3 linked regions of the Saccharomyces cerevisiae S288C genome follow. Changing the gene in region 1 together with any one later gene gives a genetic interaction. Each region holds a gene or a part of one and is shown on either strand. Other genes may lie near its edges.

Region 1 (8,035 bases):
ACAGACTCAGTAGGCAAAAACTTCAATCAATAGTACCGGGAAGATGACATTCCGGTCTAAGTGGTATTATACACTTATAGTAAAGTCACGTCAACCTTTGTTACTTTTCTTAATTGATTATATACGCACTCTTCTCAATATTTGATTTCTTCATCGAAAAGATCTACACGAAGTTTTTATCATGTGTTAGCGTGATGGAAAAGATCTGTGCACGTTTAATTAGAATTGCAAAAGCTTCAATGGGTTTGATTGAGATTTTTATTTTCAATTCACTCATCTTGATGTTCACCACCAAGCCTACATCGAAACTTTGAAATACAGGAAAGTTGCAGGAGGCTTTATTGGTTGAATTGAAAAAGAAAGGAAGAAAAACGTAATGGTAAAATAAAACTCGACTATGGCGCAACCGATAGAGAGTTTAGTGGCATTAGAAATTTTAAAAGAAGCTTTAAACTACAAAGTGTTCTTCTGAATCTGAATAAGGTCACTTACATAGAAACCTACTTACCTCAAAAGCGTAATTCCGAAAGGCAAAAGAAAAACTTTTGTAGAATCTTCAGCTGCTAGAAGTTCAAATAGAAGACAAATTACGGACTTGTTGCAGTATATGCCAAGCTACAGAAGAAATTATATTTCTTAATACGTACAGAAGGTATGAAACGTTAGTTTACTCACAGAAGATACCCTGGCTTTTCTTTTATTAATACATGGAGTTGCAAAAAACAAGGGAAAGGAAAATCAATCAAATTAGAATTAAGGTTTTTTTTGGACAGTGCAGCGTCAATGCGCACGTAATGGCTTCGAAGAAAAAAAGAAGGCAAATACAATGAAGCTGAGATCTTGTTTTATCATGAGGGGAAATAAATTGGAAGCATTGAAGTTGTTGGAATGAAACTCTAAAATATCATCTGTTTAGTAGTATCGTGTTACTAGTACATTATCACATACAGTGTAAGAAAATGACATTAGGTATGAGAAACAGTCATCAAATCTAATGGAAGCGAAATTCAAGGGTTGGTGATGTAATAGGATAATGAAACATATAAAACGGAAGTAAAAATAATCGTAATATTACAAGGAGACCAAACAAACAGTCGAGAGAAGCGTATGCACAATCATGCAAGAAAAATTTTCTGGAAGAATTTATTTAATCTTAAATTACAAATCTTAGTAGTAATGGTCACTTCTGATAGTTTCGAAAAAGGAAAGAGGAGATGACTATTGAGTCAAATTTTTTTGACGGAAACTTAGCGACCGAAAAATATATATGATAATAAGAAAACGAATGGCATACAATGATTAGTTTCAAATATTTCACGCGCAAAGAAAGAATTCTACTACCGGAGTGTGCCCTTCTTGTACTTTATTATCAGACTGTGTCTCTCTAATTGCGTGTTGTCCGCGGAATAATGCTCTAATTTAAAAAATCGACATATTCTGACTTGTATGGCGCTTTGCATTGGTGTTTATATGTTAATAACCCCTAATCATACTCTATATGAATACTTTCAAATTTACCAACACAATAAAATCTTCATATTCTCATGCATGTTTTGCCCTGTATCACTAAATAATACATACTTTACCGAAGCTGGTTGTATTTCGTGTATATCATAGCCAATGATGCCGTTATAATGTCCGAAATATTATCGCTTAATGAAGGGAAGCAGCTAACAAATATGACAAATACAGCAATTTCTTACACCGGTAACTAATGATTATACAAACAAGACTTGATTTTTTTTATGGCCTGTAAGAATATATCATAACGTGAGTTCTAGATATTTAAAGTTCTTTATGCATATTCTAGTCTACGTATATAGGAGTTCCAAAAAAAAAAAAAATTAAATGCACGTTATTCTTGACGCTAGTGTAAGTTTTTATGTACTTTACCTGCTAGCTTCGTATTTCTGTCTTGGGATATTCTTGTCCCTATTATGAGAATGTACAATATGCAAAATAAAGGTAAAAGATTTGAAAAAGAGAAAATACCCAAATATCAACAAAACTACCTCTATAGGACCTGTCTCATGGTCTTGACAACTTTATGCGAAATAAGAACACGATCGTTATATCACTTAACGCTTGAGATATATACAGAATGTAGTACATGTCGGCCCTTCTACGGATTTATTACCATGTGTATACTAGAATTGATACCGGCAACCCATAGTGACTTTTAACAGGGCAATTGGATTTGCATAAAAGTATATACAGTAATAATAATATTTCCTGATGAGAAAGGTGGAAAGTATCGAGTTATGTGTACCTTCAATACCAATCTCTACCTCTCGTTAATAGTGCCACAATGCTATGGATTCTAAGCAATTTAAACCGCATAGCTATTAGTGTAGACTTCCCACTGTATTTGAATGACACGTTGCCTTCATTCCTTGTTGCGCTGAACTTTCACGTCAGATATATATACATAAGTGCAATAGAGGCCTAGGCTAATCTGCAAATTTCTCATAGATGTACACCGCCTGTGCCGTACGGCATCGCTATCTTCTGAAAGGAAACTGTAGTAAATTTACCAAAATATCTCCGAATAAAAAGAAGAGGAACATCTTTTAATGAATTATAGAGTACAAAAGAATCATTTAAAAGAGAGGGCGAGTGAAAACATGAAAAGAAACGTTACTAACTTAATTGACCTTAAAGTAGCCTCACCAGTTAAGTGCATTATTGATCATTCCATGAATAACCATTTTTAAAGACTAAGATGCTGAGTTGTGTTATATAGAGAGAAAAAAACGTACTTTCAGTTTCCATATGAGGTGGAGCGCAGGTCATAGGTATGCCGGCTCATTGTTTTCTATTTTAAAAAGTAAAAAATATGCTGCTAAAGGAACACGTGAGAAATTACATTCTCCCTAGGTCTGCGATAACGCGGTAATATTACACTGCCGCCGCCTTCCATGCCTTTGGAAAGCAGACAATGATGCTAGGCGGCGCCCAGCAGTATAAACTTTTCTTGCTTATAACCAGAACCTCTATCACAAAATTAGAAACTGCGATACTATGGGTCAGATCGACACATAGGGAGCACTATTAGGCGCAAGGCGTATACATAGGCATTGCGTGTTCAAAAATTGTCGTATGAGAAAAGTTCCAAACTTTCCACCATTACTCACCAACAACTTACACCAGCCCGGATTTAAGATTTAGCTTCCGAGAATATTGTGACTCAGCCACTGGTCTCTTGAATGTTGCGTGTAGCTTGATTAAGATTATGGCATAACCGTTTTTTTTACTTGGCAAGAGTGAACGTCCTTTTACTCCAAAAGGCTCCTGATGAAACTGGAGAGTCTCTTTGTTCTGAAATTTTTAAAGTTTAGCACACCATATTCACGCTCGAGGTGAACCCAAGTTTTCCTGAAAAATGTGCCATGAACCTGAAAAAAAGAATTATTCTCGAAAATAAAAAAGGCAATCAAGATCGGAAAGATAAGCATTTTTTTTCAATCCGTATCTAACATTCATAAAGTGATAAAAAAATTGATAACGATTTTATTGTCGCCTCTTGTTTTGAGTATATTTTTTTAACGTTCTTTTTCGGCATTCAAATTCCGTATAATCAACTCAATTGTAAGGCGCCGTAGCATCCAAATAATGTTGAAAGTGCCAATTTGCTCATCAGTGCTAAATATTCCTTGATAAAAATATAGAAGACAAGGACATATAAAAAGAAAGACTGCTCTAGTGTTGGGACACCACAATGAAAAAATACTTAACGTGTTTCGAAACTGTGAATATAAAATTCCAGCAAAAACCAAAATATTCACTACAATGATTGATCGTACCGAGTTATCGAAGTTTGGTATTACTACGCAACTGTCTGTTATTGGACGTAATCCAGATGAACAAAGTGGCTTTGTTAATCCACCTTTGTATAAGGGGTCAACCATCATTCTTAAAAAACTTAGTGATTTAGAACAAAGGAAAGGAAGATTTTACGGGACAGCAGGTTCTCCAACTATTGACAATTTAGAAAATGCCTGGACGCATTTAACCGGCGGTGCTGGGACAGTGCTATCAGCTTCTGGGCTTGGTTCTATCTCTTTGGCGCTATTGGCCCTTTCGAAAGCTGGTGATCATATCTTGATGACTGATAGTGTCTACGTGCCAACACGTATGCTATGTGATGGTTTATTGGCCAAGTTCGGTGTTGAAACGGATTATTATGACCCATCAATAGGGAAGGATATAGAAAAACTAGTTAAGCCAAATACAACCGTCATTTTCCTCGAAAGCCCGGGTTCTGGGACCATGGAAGTACAGGATATTCCAGCTTTGGTCTCTGTTGCCAAAAAGCATGGGATAAAGACAATTCTAGACAACACATGGGCAACGCCACTCTTTTTTGATGCTCATGCGCATGGTATCGATATTTCGGTAGAAGCTGGGACAAAATATTTGGGTGGTCATTCAGATCTTCTTATTGGTCTGGCCTCCGCAAATGAAGAATGTTGGCCGCTATTACGGTCAACTTATGATGCAATGGCAATGTTACCAGGTGCCGAGGACTGTCAATTAGCATTGCGAGGAATGCGTACATTGCACTTAAGATTGAAAGAGGTAGAAAGAAAAGCCCTGGATTTGGCTGCTTGGCTCGGAAATCGAGATGAGGTTGAAAAAGTGCTTCACCCCGCCTTTGAAGATTGTCCCGGACATGAATACTGGGTTCGTGACTACAAAGGTTCTTCAGGCTTATTTTCCATTGTCCTTAAAAATGGGTTCACAAGAGCTGGTCTGGAGAAAATGGTAGAAGGGATGAAAGTTTTGCAATTGGGATTTTCATGGGGTGGCTAGAAAAGCTTCAACATGGCCTTACAAAGGTTTTGCACTAAGAATACAAGTGGGTCTCGAAGAATTTGAAGATTTAAAAAGGGATTTTGAGTTAGGCTTTGAACGTCTCGCAGAAGAAATTTCTTTGAATCCTTTACAAATCTGATTTTTTTTCCTTTTTTTTTTGGATTTCCAAGCAATGTTGTTTGAGAAATGAATGAAATTTTTGACTATAGCTTGTCTTAGGCAGGCTGGAGTAGACAACCATCTAGTAGCCAATGTTTGCCCAGTTAATATATGGTTCAATTTTCTAGCTGTATCATATTATGGATGATGAAGCAGATAATCTTTCTTTTTTCTGTATGTCTGATTGTAATAAAGAGGCTTACCATATTGTGAATGCATTTCAATGACACTGCATAATGAAGTCATTGTATTTAGAAAAGTAATAATTTTGTATTGTATAAAGATAGAAAAAACGTATATCGTACTTATTCAGCGGAAATGATTCTGCTTTATCTACTTGCGTTCCTGAATATAATATTTGTGAACCAGGCTTGAGCTTGACACTACAGATTTTTTAGTTCGATTTCATTCAGTAGAGAAAGGCATATCAATATGACATGTGATCTCACTCCGCGGCTAAATGCTAGCAATAAAAAGAATACCGTAATAGAGATGCAGCAAAATAACCACTGGTGTTTAAGAAATAATATGATTACGTCAGTAACCGAAGAGCCCGTACGCACTCTGCTACCATAGACTATGTATATTGTTACCTATTGTAAATAGCTATGGTTACTCTAAGTACGTATGGTGCTATGCATCTCGGTGAACGGATGCAATTATGAAAGTGTAGGTCAGAACATCATCGGTGGTTTTGTCGTGTAAAAAAGGTTATAAGGAAAATTATACTCACATGATTTTATTCATCATCGTCTGTGTATCGCTTCAATTAACATTTTGAAAAAGAGATTACTTTATATGACGTTATGTATATCTTTCAACTTAAATAACCTTAGCTGGCAAAATAAAGAATAAGATAAGGGCCAAGAAGAACGCTAATACTCGTTTTTTTTCAACTACAAAACAACTAGTTGGATAATTTTGAAACAACAAAGTAGAAGTTGTACATATATTTTTGCGCATATGGCTCTGAAATATCGTATTTTTCAAAAGCCCGATACAAAGCCGTCAGCAATACCCATAGTTAAAGATTCCTTGATAACCTATAGCTTCCGTAGACAACAACACAAATTTACCACCTACTTTTAACTCACCCATGTTTTTCAGTTTATCAATGAATCTAATAAACGTGGCTTACGTAACAGCTCCGCATGGACTTGAATTTACTCCTAGCGAGCCTAGTGTTTTAATTGCTTGCATACAATCTTCATCGGAAACTAAACAGGAAATAGATGGCCCCTTTCTGTAGTAGAAGAAATGCTGTTGCTGAAATCCTCGGACAGTTCAACTCATCCATGATTGTTCTAGAGGTTCCTAGATCAGATGAAGCCTTTTGTAACACCAATGACTTATTGACAGTGTAAGCGGTATCTGGTTCAACCGAGAAGACTTTCGTATTCGATTTATGCGACCTGTAATATGTTATCACTCCTTGAGCAAAAGAATCAGCCCCACAAGGGACAAATATTACCGCAGGATCGAATGGTATTTCGCTACACAAGGTAGTGTAACCATAAGAAATCCAGTTAGGAATTTCATCATAACCTATGAATGAAAAATCTTGAATAAGTTGATTTTTTTGTCGGATCGCTACTACAAAACTCTAAAGAACTTTTTATTGCATAATCATAGTTACCTTTAATTTTGATAACTTCTGCTCCCTTTTCTGATCTGATGTTCTCACGCTCTGTTCTAGAACATTCCATGGAGTAAATATTGTAGACTTTAAGCCTAGGATTTTTGCCATGTATGCAACTGCTCTACCATCATTACCATCTGTAACAGCCGCTAGCATCAAAGACGGGTGTTGGAATTTGACAATTTGCTTCAATGTATCCAAGGAAGTTTTAGGTAATGGCAGGCTAAATCTTCCAATCAAACAGCAAAATACACCTCAAGACGCCCCAAGAATTTTGAATGAAGGCGAGCTGAATCCCGAACTTTGTTCTTTAATGTACAATTTAATACCAAAATGATTATCCAACTTGATTAGCTTCGATGACTCATACAGATCCATACCAATATCAACTTCACGGATAACTTTTTCAACTCTTTTAAATTCTTCAACATCATTTTTCGATCAAACTGCGTCAGGTTTTACATATAGATCAAGCGTTGTCGGTTTATACTACGATGTCATTTACGATCTGCTGCCAACAGAAGAAACATTACGCAGTACCTTGGAAAAATCTAGGCAATTTATAGACATGAATCTCCTATCGTTCTTAAAACAATGTATTTCCTGTCGTTGTCTCGATTCTCTTTTTTGCTATTCTGAAGGACAGGTCCATTTATCATCCAGAATTCTAATCCCGAATTTAAGATATCGTAACAGTAACAACATCATATCCAAGCACCGAAGATTCATTGCTCTATATTCCTTGTCTTCGAATAAGGAAGATACCGCGAAGAGACTCTTTAGGAGTCGGGCTTGACTCCCTGCCAAAGCAGCTATTCCTGTATAACACGCGATATTTTATCTCCTTGTCGTCATGTGAAAGTCAAACAGCGCACGTTTGTTTGATGAAGCAGCAACTCTCCTCTTACTGCTTTTGCAGAATTTTGTGAGAAGCTCTCTTCTCTTGGAACTAACCTAGCCATATGGCTTTCTGCCCTCTTTCCGTCAACATTACAAGATAAAGATATCGGTATAATTTAAAGATTCGACCTTTACGCCCTACATGGCTAAAATTACAATGCCAAAATTATCATGAATTCACTTTGTTGACCCGGAATTACAATACAATGCTTCTAAAAAGAGATTTCTTTTAAATTTGTCAAGGGAAGTCATTTATCTCCACACAAACGCACACCGAAATATATATATATATTTAAATTTCCTCATTCTTTGTTGACAGGTTGATTTGTAACTAGAAATCAAATAATCGGGATGCGCAATACCCTGTAGTAGTCGATTCAAAAACTGATTAAAAAATCACTGACATTTAGCATAAGCGACTGAAAAAATGTACTGATTTCTTCTCGAGTCATATATACTATTACATGAGTTCGAGTATGGTGTTGTTTTCTTTAGAATGTCTTATCAAGACCGACAATTCAT
Region 2 (5,897 bases), on another chromosome or scaffold:
CTTATCACAAGAATATATTGGAGTTTCTGCCGGCAAAAGTGCAAGCGATAAAGAAGATACTTGGCCTGACTTTGTTCCTATTGACAGGACAGTGCTTGAAAAAATTGAACTCAACCATACGAAGGTTGCTGGGAAAGTTTTTGTTTTGGAAGAGATTTGTAAAAACATGAAGGGAACAATAGAGAAGCTAGCTGAAAAAAGCAAAATTGACGTCATTGATAAAGAATACATGAAAAGGCCTAAAAGAAAGCAATATTCAAAGGCCTTGTTAACAAAACAAAAAATGTTTCATTTTCGACAAAATGTTTTATCACATTTAACTGACGAAGAATTTCTTTCGCCCATTAATGAAATGTTTACTACTACTTTCAAATATTCTATTTTACAGACCAAGCTGGTCCTGGACTTCTCTTTCCGATCCGCATCATCACCATCTAGTGATAATATTTTGTATCCTCTGCCCCGTTTAGCAATTGCAAAGCGTTTGCTCAAAAATATAAAATGTCCATCATTAGCCTCTCTTCTCCACATAGTGGATGTAGATCAATGTTTGCAATTTGCCGACGTGCACTTTGATCCTGCTAAAGGAAGATTGACATCATCACAGGCATTTTTGCTAAATATCTGCCTCTGCCTTGGGGCCACCGTTACAAATTTTGAGGAGAAGCAGGAGCTAGTTGATGAAGATAATCATGAAACCTATTATTTTGAGAAGTTCGAATTATGGAGACTCAGATCTTTCACTTTTCTCAATTCTGTCTATTACTACCATAAACTGTCTGTAGCACGCGCAGATATGACGGCATTAAAGGCATTACTGTTACTGGCAAAGTTTGCCCAACAAAAAATAAGTGCTTCATCAGCGGTCAAAGTACTATCCGTTGCTATCAAAGTGGCTTTGGATTTACGGCTCAATTTACATTCCACCTATGAGGATCTAGAACTTGATGAAATCATTAAAAGAAGACGCTTGTGGTGTTATTGTTTTTCAACAGACAAATTCTTTTCTGTGGTGTTGTCAAGACCGCCCTTTCTCAAGGAGGAAAACACTGATGTATTAACAGATGAAAGCTATGTTGAACTATTCAGAGATAAAATTCTGCCCAATCTTTCTATAAAATACGATGATTCAAAACTAGAAGGGGTGAAAGATATTGTATCCGTTGTAAACTTACTCGCGAATCACCTTGAATATGTACCATACATTCAATCATATTTTTTGTCGAGATTATCCCTCATAGAGTCTCAAATATATTACTCATGTTTTTCCATCAGAACAACTTTAGACGATACACTAGATGAAATCATTGAAAATGTACTGGAAAATCAAAAGGCGTTAGATAGAATGCGAGACGATTTGCCCACCATATTATCATTAGAAAATTACAAGGAAAACATGAGGATTTTATCTTTGGATTCTTCGAAGTTAGATTTTGAAGTGAGTTGTTGTACTACTATTCTATTACACCTCAGATGGTACCATCAAAAGATAACCCTGAGTTTATTTGTCATATCCATCATTGGAGATAACTTAGATCAACGGGAAAGTTCCCGGCATGATATAGCTGAAATTATTAGAAGGTCAAGATTGGATTTCAAGCGAAATTGCATCGAAGTACTTAATATTTTGAAAGATTTTGAATACTACCCTACTGTTCAGAATGAGTTTCTGTATTTTTCTCTCACAACGGTTTTTTCCATGTTTCTGTATTTGTCAGAGATTATGGTTAATGACGAACATGCCATGGAGACTGGTTATATAATTGGATTATTGAGGGATACACATACCCGTATGCTTGGATCTGAAGAACGCTGTCTTTCAGTACACAATCTGAAGTGGCAAACATCTCTTTTTTTTTACACTTTTTTTCTACGGAGTACGATGGAAAAGTTCAATCTGACAAGTAAATACGCAAAATTCTATGCCTTTGATTCAAATTATTATGAGGGTGTTCTCAATAGGTTAGTTAAGCATACGAGAGAATCAAAAGATGATATGGTCGAGCTCTTGAAAACTTCGTTCATAAATAAAGAGAAGATGGCTGCATTTGGTAGTTTCGTTACAGAGGACCAAGAAAAAATGGAAGTGTCCTTCAATATTTTCAATGAAATAACAATCCAGGATTTGAACTTCTTGCAATTTTCAAGCATTCCGAAATTGTGGGAAAATAAAACTCTTGAGCCAGGCGAGGAATATCATCATAGTAATGGTACCAATACTGATAATAACGAGACTACTGGCGCTGATGATACTGACGATAATAATAATAATAATAATAATAATAATAAAAATGGCAATAATAGTAGTAGTACTATTAATAATAATAACAATAACTACAGTAACAGTAACAATAATGACAATGACAACAATATTAATGATGATGATGATGATGATGATGATGATGATGATGATGATGATGATGATGATGATGATGATGACAATGATGATGATTATAGTAATAATGGTGCTGATGATGATGAAGAAGACGATGACTATGACAGATCTTTATTTCCAACAGGTTTAGCTTCGCTGCTTGATGCGTCATATCCTGAACGTACGGCGAATGATTATAGAGATGAGAATGAACAATCGAATAAATTATTCGAAAAGATTGAAGGCCATTTGGAGCACGGTGTTTTTTTTTACGATCGGGATTTCTTCTTCAAGAATGTGTGTGTAAAAATGTAATATTATATAAAGGACATTCGAGTAATTTAACTAATACATATGCATACGCGCGCGTATGTATTTCAGATACTTAAAAACTTCAAATCACGTATGAAAAACATATTGTTTACTTGAGGCGATTACACAATATCTTGTTTTTGACAAGATTAAGAAGCGAACTAAATAAAGTGAAAATAAAGTCGTTGTCTTAATACTTTAAATTGTCCAAGTTTGGTCCGTTACCAGTAAACTCTGGAAGGATGGCTGCAAATGGCTCATCGATGAATCTCACTGGGTATTTTTCACCGAAGTCGTTCAACTCTTGTAATTCATCCTTTGTCAAAGATGCGAATTCAATACTCGAGGAAATCCTAACTGGATTCAAGGATCTCGGAATTACGATAGTGCCTTGTCTAATATGGTAAGAAATTAGCAAGTCATTTCCTGTGACATTGTACTTTTCGGCAAGCTTTTTCACTAGTGGGATTTTCAAGTTTGGTGCGCCATGGGAACCTAATGGTGAGTATGCTGTTAACAGAATGTCGTGCATAAAGCAGAACTTTCTTAGTTCCATTTGTGGTAAGTGAGGGTGAGTTTCCACTTGGTTCACCGTTGGCTTAACTCTGCATTCCTTAATGAGACGTTCCAAATACTCAATGGAAAAATTTGAGACACCAATGGCTCTCACACGATGATCGTTAGGATCAAGGTAAATTTTTTCCAATTGCTTGTAAGTTTCTAAATAGTCACCGTCGGCAGCATACATTGTTTTTCCAGAATCATCAACCGGAGTCTTCACCAGTCCGCTGATCCCCTTAGGGTCCTTAATCTTTTCAAAACATAGCGGCCAATGTTGCAAGAGCAAGTCGACGTATTCCAAGCCTAAAGCTTTCAAAGATTCATTCAATGATCTGTCCACTTCGTCCCATAGAACCGGCCACACTTTTGTGGTTATGAAAAGATCCTCCCTTTTGATAGATCCATCTTCTAATAACTCCTTGATGGCTTCACCTACGAATGGCTCTGTCTCGTAGGCCCAAGCAGTATCAATGTGCCTGTATCCAGCTTTGATTGCAGCTTTTACGGCTTGTTTTGTTTCAGCTAACTTTTCGTGAGGATTTGCTGTCCCCAAACCCAGTGCTGGGATACGAACACCATTGTTGAGTGAAAAGTATATTTCTGTAGTCTTTGGATGCAACATATTTTCGACTATGTTTTCGGTTGAGGCTACTGAAGAAGACATGATAGCAGTTGATTAAAATCAAGACGCTTTTATCAATTGAAGGCGGAGATAGTGCAAATAAGTCCAGATGCTTGATATCCCCCTCTTTCCTTTTTACCCCTGTATTACGAGGCTCACTTTATATATTATAATTTTTCCAGGCGGAGGTAAGGGTAGAGCGGCTTTTGGTGGATTTATAATCGGCAATAAACGAGTTTTTAAGCGATCTATAATATTTTTATTGAGTGATAGTTAGATACTTAATGATTATATACTAGTAGCATTTTCAGTAAACGAAATTGTTAAGATGTTAAGGTGGAGGCGCCATTCTTGCTGTCTTTTATCAACTTTGTACTCTCTTTTTTCTTCAAATGTTGCATCAGTGTTTTGATATAGTTATCCTTATCTTGTAGCATCATTCTTAACCCACCTATTGTTTCCTTCTGGAAATTGGCAGATCTCTCGTAGAACCTGAAGTTCATTGTCAGTTGGTCGATTAAGGAGAAGTTGATGTTTGCGAACAGAGGGCCCAATTGCCTCTTGAAGCTGTTTTCTTGTAAACGAAATGAGGAGTCTTCGAAACAATTTTTCATGTTTAGCGCACTACAGCAGGTTTCAATCTTTATAATATTATCGTCGTTTTCCTTCAAATCATTGCCATAAACATTGTGGAATTGCAAAACCTCGCTGAGGCTTTTCAGTAATGTCAAAAACTGGTCGATAGTATATCTATTCAAGTCTAATCTAACGCTGTCAGCCCTTACCTGTTTTTTTTTTTTTTCAAGAGATTTTTCTAAGCCAAATATTCTCTTTTCCAAGTGTTTTAATCTATTTTCATTGTTTCTCGTTTCTCTTGGAAGATATTTCGAGGGTTTGAATGTGGATTGCTGTAATTTTTTTGAAGTTTCGTTGACGTTCAGTTCTAAAATGCCAGGACCCATATTGGATTTGGTAATCTCCTCATTTTCGTTTTCATCCGTAGATATGTACTCATTTGTTTTATTATTCGTACTTTTTTTTTTCAATTTGTTCATTTCCAATATAAGATCATTGTTTTTTTTACTAATGGATTCAAGGTTGTCTTTCAATGAGTTAATTTCCTGCTTATGTTGGAGATTTTCTTGCTTTAATGTTGACAAGTTCAAATTCTCCAATTTTAACTTTTCCAACTCATCTTGCTTCTCTTGTGCGTGCATTCTACCCTTTGAAATGTGGTTAGTAATACTTTCTATAACGTGGTCGCTCAATTGGTCGAGCTCTTCCTCCCAAGATACGTTTTGTTTCCCCCCTGAAGTCAAATCAATATCAATGTTCATAGTAGCCAATTTTTTGTTCAGATAGTCAATCACATGTCTCCCACCTTTGTGAAAATCATTTTCTACTGTTATATTAGGCTGAGATGTAAATGTGTTTGGTGTCTGAAACACAAATTTGTAAGGACCTTCAAGAACATTCTCCGGTGGAGTAGCAGGAGAAAATTCATCGTCACTGTCGTCGCTATACTCTTCAAAACTTTTTTCATATTCCTTTTTCAGACCTTTATTCTTAGCGCCTTTAGTCAAGCATTGATCCTTGGAAGGTATTTTCTCGGGACTTTTTGATTGCATAACATGTGAGTTAGCATCAGTGAAATGAGACTCATTCTCATCATCAGAAGAAAGTTCAACGGGCAATAGTAAGTTATTTTCATTCCTGAATTCTTTCACGTCATTTGCACTCTTGAAAATACTGTTTCTGATTTTTTTTGTGAAACTTCCTTTTTGGATGTCATGGGAATTTTCCTTTTTTGCACACTTATTGCTAGTTTTCTTCCAAACTAACGCATCATCTTCATCTTCCAACACAGACTCGTCCTTATTTGAGTTTGTTTGTTTGAAAAAAGATCTAACTTTTCTTCCTAGTTTTCTTTCTTCAACAGATTTTTGTGAGTTTTTGTCATTTAAGTAGACATCATTGACGTCATCTTCAACTCTATCTTCGCAACTATTTTTTAGGTCTGCTGTCGGT
Region 3 (8,646 bases), on another chromosome or scaffold:
TTCAGTTCCCCCGTTCTTGAATTGGACTACCGATGTTTATGAGCTGGGCATTTTCTCAGGAATTATATAGTATGTTAAGTGTGTAACAAATTGAGATGAATATATACGTGCTGGCTTACGCATTATGAAACACACTAGTAGAATAAGTGTTTCGGATGGGAAGTTTATTGATACTAAACCTAACGTGTCTTCCAAACGAACAAATAATAATGTAGGTTTCAAATTATATCAGCGACTAACTTCGGCGGCTATATGGACAGTCACTAAAGTGTTTTGAAGATGTTTTCTTTCTGTGGTCACGACGGTAGCCTCAACTGCCTAGAAATTTACAAAACAAAATAGTTTACAAAATTAAAGCACTTTTCAAGCGCCGTGCATATTAGTTTTTGTGGTACTGAAAGTTCGGTTACATGATGTGCGGCAAACAACTTTTTGATGTTGGCTAGCAGATCGAGATTCTGTTGATGATGGCAACGTTGAAAAAGCGTTGATCACAAGAATTAGAAAGTACTAATTTTCCATTACTTCTAACTAAAGAGGGAATTACCATTAGTGTAATTCACAAACATTTGTAAAAAAACAATCATCATAACGTACTATTCATAAACATATAAAGCGCCAGATAAAAAGAAATGGTTGGTATTTACAGAATACTTGCTTCGTTCGTCCCACTCCTGGGTCTTCTTTTTGCATTCCATGATGATGACATGATAGATACTGTTACAATCATCAAAACTGTATATGAAACGGTGACATCAACTTCTACTGCACCTGCACCTGCCGCTACAAAATCTGTTAGTGAAAAGAAACTGGATGACACTAAACTAACACTTCAAGTAATTCAAACTATGGTATCATGTTTTTCTGTAGGTGAAAATCCGGCCAATATGATATCCTGTGGGCTAGGAGTTGTAATCTTAATGTTTTCATTAATCATCGAGCTTATCAACAAGCTCGAAAATGATGGTATCAATGAACCGCAAAGGTTATATGACCTAATTAAACCAAAATACGTCGAGCTACCTTCAAATTATGTGAATGAAAAAATCAAAACAACATTTGAACCTCTCGACCTATACTTAGGAGTAAATATGAATACTTCAGGAAGTGAACTAAACCAAAACTGTTTGATTCTCAAACTTGGCGAGAAGACGGCTCTGCCTTTCCCAGGCTTGGCCCAGCAGATTTGTTATACAAAAGGCGCTTCAAATGAGTTCACAAATTATAAATTATCGGACATACAGGGCAATTTAAACGAAAACAGCCAAGGAATTGCTAATGGCGTTTTCCAGAAAATATCAAACATTAGAAAAATATCAGGTAATTTTAAGTCTCAGCTTTATCAAATTTCAGAAAAAATCACCGACGAAAATTGGGACGGTTCTGCTGTAGGCTTCACTGCTCATGGGAGAGAAAAAGGCCCAAACAAATCTCAAATATCGGTTTCATTTTATAGGGATAATTAAAATAATTCTCTAAACTTTGCTATACCTTATTCGTTGTTGATAAGTACACTTGTCCCATTTCCAGAAATTTAATTATTCAAGTCTTTAGCTTCGATAGACGATGTACTTGAAAAATTTATAATCGATATAATTTTCTCTTCTGATTTTTTCACTCTTTTTTTTTTTTTTTGTACTATAGTAGGATACTCAGGGAAAAAGAAACCACTGCCTTTGAACAATGTTGCGAAACCAATTGATTAGTGGGCTACAAGAGTGTAAATAATGAAGATCTTTCATTTTTTGTAGGAATGCGTTTACTCTGGCGTATCTTTTGTAAAGGTTTGTTTCACCGAGAAAGGAAAAAGCTCGGCAATTGGTTTAATCTTGGTTGGATTGTAAAAAAATACATTAAAATTTAGGTTCTACCCCGCAGTGTTTGCTTAATTTACATAGGACCCTTTTCCTGCCGTTTTTGTTTTGTAAGGGTGAGGAAAAACTGGGGACGATGAAGAGCAAAAAAGAAACGAACATATTTGTGAATACATTATACACCTGAAGTAATAAATTTGTGGGGGACGTCATTTAAAGCCAAAATACTTCTTAACACACAATTACTATAAACTATTCCTGTAGATTAGCCCACCCCACCTTGAGAAAACCTTCAGGATACCAAATGGCAGGACCCAACTAACACAAACTCATTTTCTTCAATTTATACAAAGTACGTTTTTCTTTCGTGAATAGTATATAGAGCTTTAAATATTTGCCTAGTAGGCTTCTGTATTTTCAGATTGGCGCTACATCAAGTTACCTCTAATGTATTGAATCTAGAATATAAAAATGTATGCAAACATTATCGTTGCAAATTTAATTTAAGTTGCGAGAAATTTAGGAATATTTCTGTTCAAACCCTACTGACGAGAGAAGAGCCAATATCAAATCTGGTGGTAATCCCGATGGAATCAGAATCGTCTAGTAGGAATTTGAAGTCTATTTTTTTAATATGGACTCATACAAAAAATTAGAAAAGGCGCCAATTAAAAATGTGCAATCAATGTAATGAAAGAACTGATCTCAATGGCAGGAAGATCAAATTGGTAGGTAGATCATGTCTATATAATGCATGTGAAAATTTTATAGAAAACTGTTGTGGGCTCTGGAAAACAGGCTGCTAAACAGTACTTAGTGGAATTAAAGTACGCTGGTGCAAAAGACCAATTTCAAGGTCACTACTATATAAGGTGCAAAAAAAGCTTGTAGTAAAAATTATTGCTCCTAAATGTCACCCTATAGAAAAAAAAAAGCTTTTATATAAGCATGCATGATATTTTCAATATAGTGCCTTTAAAATATATATCCTACGAAAAAATTGGTAACTTTTATCCAAACTTATAATATTAAAAAAAGCGCTACTTATATGCATCATTTCATTTAATCATTGAGAACAATTTCCTTGATTGTAGCTCCTTTGTTATCATCATCATAATCATCATACACTCCTTGTACTGCCACAACTATGTATCTTGTTTTCCTCCAATCTGTGTTCCCTTTATCACCCACCTGCAATTTATCATAATCAATAGTGAAAGTCGTTCTATTACTGGGTAATATCTCGATTAACGACTGGTTGCGACTTGCTTCGTAGTATGGCTCACTTGGGCTCACTGGCACGTTATCCAGAATTTTCACAAATTTTCTTTTTAGAAAGTTAAGTCTGGGTATTTGTTCAATTAGCTTGGCTAAGTCTTCCTTCTTCCAGTGCAATAAGGCTTGCACATCATCCAAAGATTCATCATCCTCTTGTTCTATGCCATCAAAATCAATAACGTTCTCGACAGGAATTCCGGCATTATCTAAAAGCTGACCAATGGTTTCATTAAGAAGTTGATCATTTCCCGAATTTTGCATAATTTCTGTCACGTTCGCAAATAAATTTTCGACTTTTTCAGAATGAGGCAAAATAGATATGGAAATGTTTTTTGCGGGCCTCTGCCCCCAAAGAATCATTCCCTTGGTAATCTCTTTCTCGTTGTATTCACCTAAATCAATCAATAGCTTCGCACGGTGAATTTTGTCTAAGGGTTGCCAATGCGTGTAATTATTCCCATCTAGAGCAGAGAATGCAACGTCACCAGGAACGCCGGCCGTCAAGTTTGTTATTTGCTTATTTTCCGCTATGTTGTTTCTTGCGTTTAAGCCAGGCTTGAACAGTTGGACTGTAAGCTCTTGTTTCGGTTTTAAAAGATAATAGGTACCATACCTATCCATCCTCATTGGATCACCAACACGGTCGACGTCTCTACGCTCTAGATTTGGTTTTCTTTCGTTTTCGGAACCATTATAGAAGTTGATATCCTGGTCATGTATTAGAGATCTGTTTGGTATCTTTATATGAATAGGAACATCTCCTGATTTATGAACAATCGTACCATTGTGGTCGTCAATTATTATATCTAAAACTTGGTTCATATATTTGAAGTTTCTAATAGCGATACCACCAGGGAGCAACGGTAGTTCTATTGGATTGAACCTTAACAAACGGTTAATTTTTTTAGTATCTGGATCAACCTCATAAGAATATCGGATTCCTGTTAACCCAAACAGAATGCTCTGTAGAAATCCACCGTTAGCTGTTAAAAAGGGGAATGCTGGCTGGGTTAATCCGTTTGTTAAAAAGTTGTCGTCTGATTGCTCACTAAATTGAGCGAAAGGAGCCCGTAAGTATGGAAGAACCGATTTATATAAGTAACTTTGAGAAGAAGAGCCGTGATTCAGCAGACCAGCAGCTGCGGCCACAAAAACCGGATATGTCATTGCAGGCCCAGACGCAGACTGTCTTTCTGAATAATAATAAAGATCTTTAATTGCATTGTTCAATATGGATTCATCATTGATATATCCAAGTGGGTAAACCATTAAAGTCACATCCGCCTGTTTAATCTCCACTGAGCTATTCATACCAGAATATTCCAAAGTGATGTTAGATGAGGATCTAGGGATATAAATATCTTTGGAAATTTCACTCCATTTGGGGTCAACGACCTCGCCGAGATGATTGCCAATGTCTGTTGCCCACTTTAGAAGTGTTTTAATGCCAGCATTCGTGAAAGCCCCGTTATTGATGTGATTAGCAAACTCGTCGGGATCTGTCAAATTATATGTTTCATACAATCCTAGGGAAGAATTGTACTTAACATAAGCAGTAAAAAATTGGGCTGCGTTTTTGATAATTGGCCATGTAGTATATCTCAGATACTCGTCATCAATCCCTTCGTGTCCATTCAAGTATATGGAAAAGGAGGCCATAGCGACATCAACGTTAATATGGTATTCGTAATCGACACAAGGTCCCGTAGAAGTACAATTAGCGTACTTACCAGATGTCCAGGGGTATATTGCTCCGGGGTATCCATATTTCTCTGCATTTAACTTTGCCTGCGAATGTGTAGCATTTCTGTAATTATTCATATTTTGAGCCACATTTGGGAAGAAAGGCAATAGGGCAGGTTCCATCCATATATCTGCGTCCCAGAACACCATACCACCATAGGAATCTGATGACAAACCAGAAACTCCCACGGGAAGACCCCTATCGCTCGAGACATTGTAATCTCTTGTATTTGCTAGTAAATGGAATAGGGACGATCTTGCTGTCATTTCTAAAAGACTGTCAGAAGGAATTTCAATGAAGGCGTCGTTGTAAAGGTCATACCACGCACGTTTGTGACTTGACAGAAGCTTCTCGTAATTGCCTTTACTGTTTAGAGCTATCATTTTGGCCAAACCAATATTAGTATTGTCTTGTTGTTCTTTGTTCTTATTGAACTCAGTAGACATAATACCAACATACTTATGAACGATTATCTTGGGTTGGTCCTCTGTCAAAATAACATTATAAATATTAGAAGAAACATCTTTTTCTTCAAAAGATTCACTAGAATTTATTGGATTGGTGGAATTTTCATACTTTACAGTACACGTTGAGTAAATAGCGCAATTAGAAGATGGAACGTTATCTGGCTGAACAATCATGAAAACCGCATTATTTTTTTCGTCTGTTCCCGTGCTATGTAGAACAGTCCTATGTGATGTGTTGAAATCAAGTATATCCCATATATTAACATCTAATGAATCAAAATCCGAAGGTAAATGGTCCGTATTCAGGGAAATTTCCAAAGAAACCACTCCCAGTGGATGAATGTGCCGATGTGCCCAGATTTCACTTTTAACATGTATTTGACTGTTTAGCCAATCTAACTCCGTAGTTACGATACCATCCTTCATTGATAAGTTTTGGCTATAATTAGTTACGTCATCCAACGTAACATTTTGTGGATTGAACCACTTAGAATCATTCACTAATGAGAACTGTAGATTGGTCCATTGTGGAATAGATGAAATGACAGTGGAATATCCTACATCATCCAATTCTGGGAAGTTTGTTGAATTTAGTTTTGGTTGTAGACAATAAAAGTCCGATACAAACGCACCGGCAAATCTATGATTTCTTAAGGGCCAACCGTTATTCAAAGCGCCTGGTGCGTCTGTGTAAAAATTCAGGGTGTCTAAGGCATAGCCGAACCCAATATTGGGAATACGACTACCTATATAACCGTTAGCAACATATGGTTGTCTCGAGTATGTATTCTTTGAGAACAAGTTACTTCCCAAAATCATGTTCTCATCATCATAATATGCCGTGTTGAAATCAGAAAGGAGTTCATAAAGTTTTTTAGAAGATTCCCTTGCTTCTGGATCGTAGTTCAACGTATGATTTCCCAATGACGGCGATATCACACCCAGAGGGTTAAATAGGGCAGCCCTCGAGGCATGTGAGTATGTAAGCCTGGAACTCTTTGTTAAATATAATGCAGTGACGAAGATAGCTAATAAAAATAGCATCATCAGTAAAAGTATAGAGTTGATCAAGTCAAACCTTGAGAAAGAACGATAATTTTTAGAGCGAGAGTTATTACCGGTACTATTTTTGTTCCTCAAACTAGGAGAATTGTTAAGGTTTGAATAAGAAGCCTCCGCATTGAACCAAAGCGATCTTATTCTTTTCATTATTGGAATGAGGAAATTTCGGTAAAAACAGATGCAATATTAGGTGATACTAGCAGGCTCTCATAAAGGACTGATGAATCCTTTTTTAAGGAGCAATAAGATTCTTTTTTTTTTTTTTTTTACTTGAAAAAAAGGGAGTGGTAATATGGTGAAAAGTGGAGAAATTTTGTTATTATTATTCAATAACGACAAGAATTCTCTTTCCGAATATAAAAACGGCGCGGCTGTTGGTTTGTCGTGATACGTAGTGCTTGCTTGGACTTGGAAGTAAGACTATACCAAAAAGGAAATAAATTTTGAGGGGCAAAGAAGAGATGCTTGTACTGCCTTGCTGACTCAGATTGTTCGTTGATTTTGCTCAACTTTCCGCTTGCTTAGAGTGAACGTGATAGCTTTACGGCTAGAATCAAGATGAATGTTCCTTTCTTTTTCCGAAGTATTTGCCCTTATTGAAAAAGAATGATAAGGGATATACGAATAGACTGGTAAATATTGTAGATACACTTGTTTTTAGTGAAGCGAGAATAACAAAGCTTCAGCTAGAGACGTGACGGCTGAGAGGTGACCTGAAAGAAAGTAGTTATTGCTGGCTTGAAGAGTGAAATAACCTTGGTACAGACTTTGATAGCACGAACTGTTTGCCATCCAGAGAAGAAAGGGCCTCTCATTTCCTGCGGTATCCCTTCGTTGTTTAAGCCGTTCACAATCCGGGTAATAAATTTGATCTTAACACAGTTTTTATATTAAGAAAGATCTCAAACAAATGAGTGAATATTAAGTTTAAGAGAGGAAAATACTGTGCTGCACAGATATTGATAGAATGACGGATATTCAACTAAATGGAAAGAGTACATTAGATACTCCTTCTGCTACCATGTCAGCAAAAGAAAAAGAGGCAAAATTAAAATCGGCTGATGAGAATAACAAGCCACCGAACTACAAAAGAATTTCTGACGATGATTTATATAGGCACTCTTCTCAGTATAGAATGTGGTCATACACTAAAGATCAACTTCAGGAGAAAAGGGTAGATACCAATGCCCGAGCGATTGCTTACATTGAGGAAAATTTATTAAAATTTAGAGAAGCACACAATTTAACAGAAGAAGAAATAAAAGTACTAGAAGCAAAGGCTATCCCTTTGACAATGGAAGAAGAACTCGATTTGGTGAATTTCTACGCAAAAAAAGTTCAGGTAATAGCACAGCATCTAAATTTGCCAACCGAAGTAGTGGCCACTGCGATATCCTTTTTTAGGCGTTTTTTCTTAGAAAATTCTGTTATGCAAATAGATCCTAAAAGTATTGTACATACTACTATCTTTCTAGCCTGCAAATCGGAGAACTATTTTATTAGCGTGGACTCGTTTGCTCAAAAGGCCAAATCTACTAGAGATAGTGTTCTCAAATTCGAGTTTAAGTTGTTAGAATCATTGAAATTTTCACTGTTGAACCATCATCCTTACAAACCGCTTCATGGGTTTTTCTTAGATATCCAGAACGTCCTTTATGGTAAGGTTGATTTAAATTACATGGGCCAAATATACGATAGGTGTAAGAAGAGAATAACTGCCGCATTATTAACCGATGTCGTATATTTCTACACTCCACCCCAAATAACACTAGCAACATTATTGATTGAGGATGAAGCCTTGGTCACAAGGTATTTAGAAACAAAATTTCCCAGCAGAGAAGGTAGCCAGGAATCAGTACCGGGAAACGAAAAAGAAGAACCACAAAATGATGCCAGTACAACTGAGAAAAACAAAGAGAAGTCCACAGAGAGCGAAGAATATTCGATAGACTCCGCGAAGTTACTAACCATAATACGCGAGTGTAAAAGTATTATTGAAGATTGTAAACCTCCGAGTACTGAAGAGGCCAAGAAAATTGCGGCAAAAAACTATTATTGTCAAAATCCATCAACACTGATTCAGAAATTAAAAAGGAAGTTGAATGGAGAAGATACTTCGTCCACCGTTGAGAAAAAGCAAAAAACATGAAACAGCTCTGTTACCGTAGGTTTCTGTTTTATATATATATATAGATTAAGATGCATAGGTATATAGACCGGCGCCATTTTATATTATTTCATGCCATGAATATATACTGCAAAAAATGTGACAATGAGTAAA

The links. A genetic interaction does not mean that the proteins touch.
Region 2: mutations in IRC7 (region 1) and ARA1 together harm fitness more than expected from each alone (negative genetic interaction), as found in Saccharomyces cerevisiae (one large-scale study listed by BioGRID).
Region 3: mutations in IRC7 (region 1) and ATH1 together harm fitness more than expected from each alone (negative genetic interaction), as found in Saccharomyces cerevisiae (one large-scale study listed by BioGRID).

The regions. Positions count from the first base shown.
Region 1 is NC_001138.5:260,415-268,449, forward strand, and holds IRC7 (cysteine-S-conjugate beta-lyase IRC7), read left to right. Parts: upstream 1-3,789; coding exon 3,790-4,812; downstream 4,813-8,035.
Region 2 is NC_001134.8:538,001-543,897, reverse strand, and holds ARA1 (D-arabinose 1-dehydrogenase (NAD(P)(+)) ARA1), read right to left. Parts: upstream 3,912-5,897; coding exon 2,877-3,911; downstream 1-2,876. Other genes in the region: TBS1 (Tbs1p), read left to right, coding at 1-2,689; YSW1 (Ysw1p), read right to left, coding at 4,193-5,897. UniProt on the Saccharomyces cerevisiae protein: Catalyzes the oxidation of D-arabinose, L-xylose, L-fucose and L-galactose in the presence of NADP(+).
Region 3 is NC_001148.4:613,245-621,890, reverse strand, and holds ATH1 (alpha,alpha-trehalase ATH1), read right to left. Parts: upstream 6,513-8,646; coding exon 2,877-6,512; downstream 1-2,876. Other genes in the region: YPR027C (uncharacterized protein), read left to right, coding at 633-1,466; TFIIH complex kinase subunit CCL1, read left to right, coding at 7,333-8,514.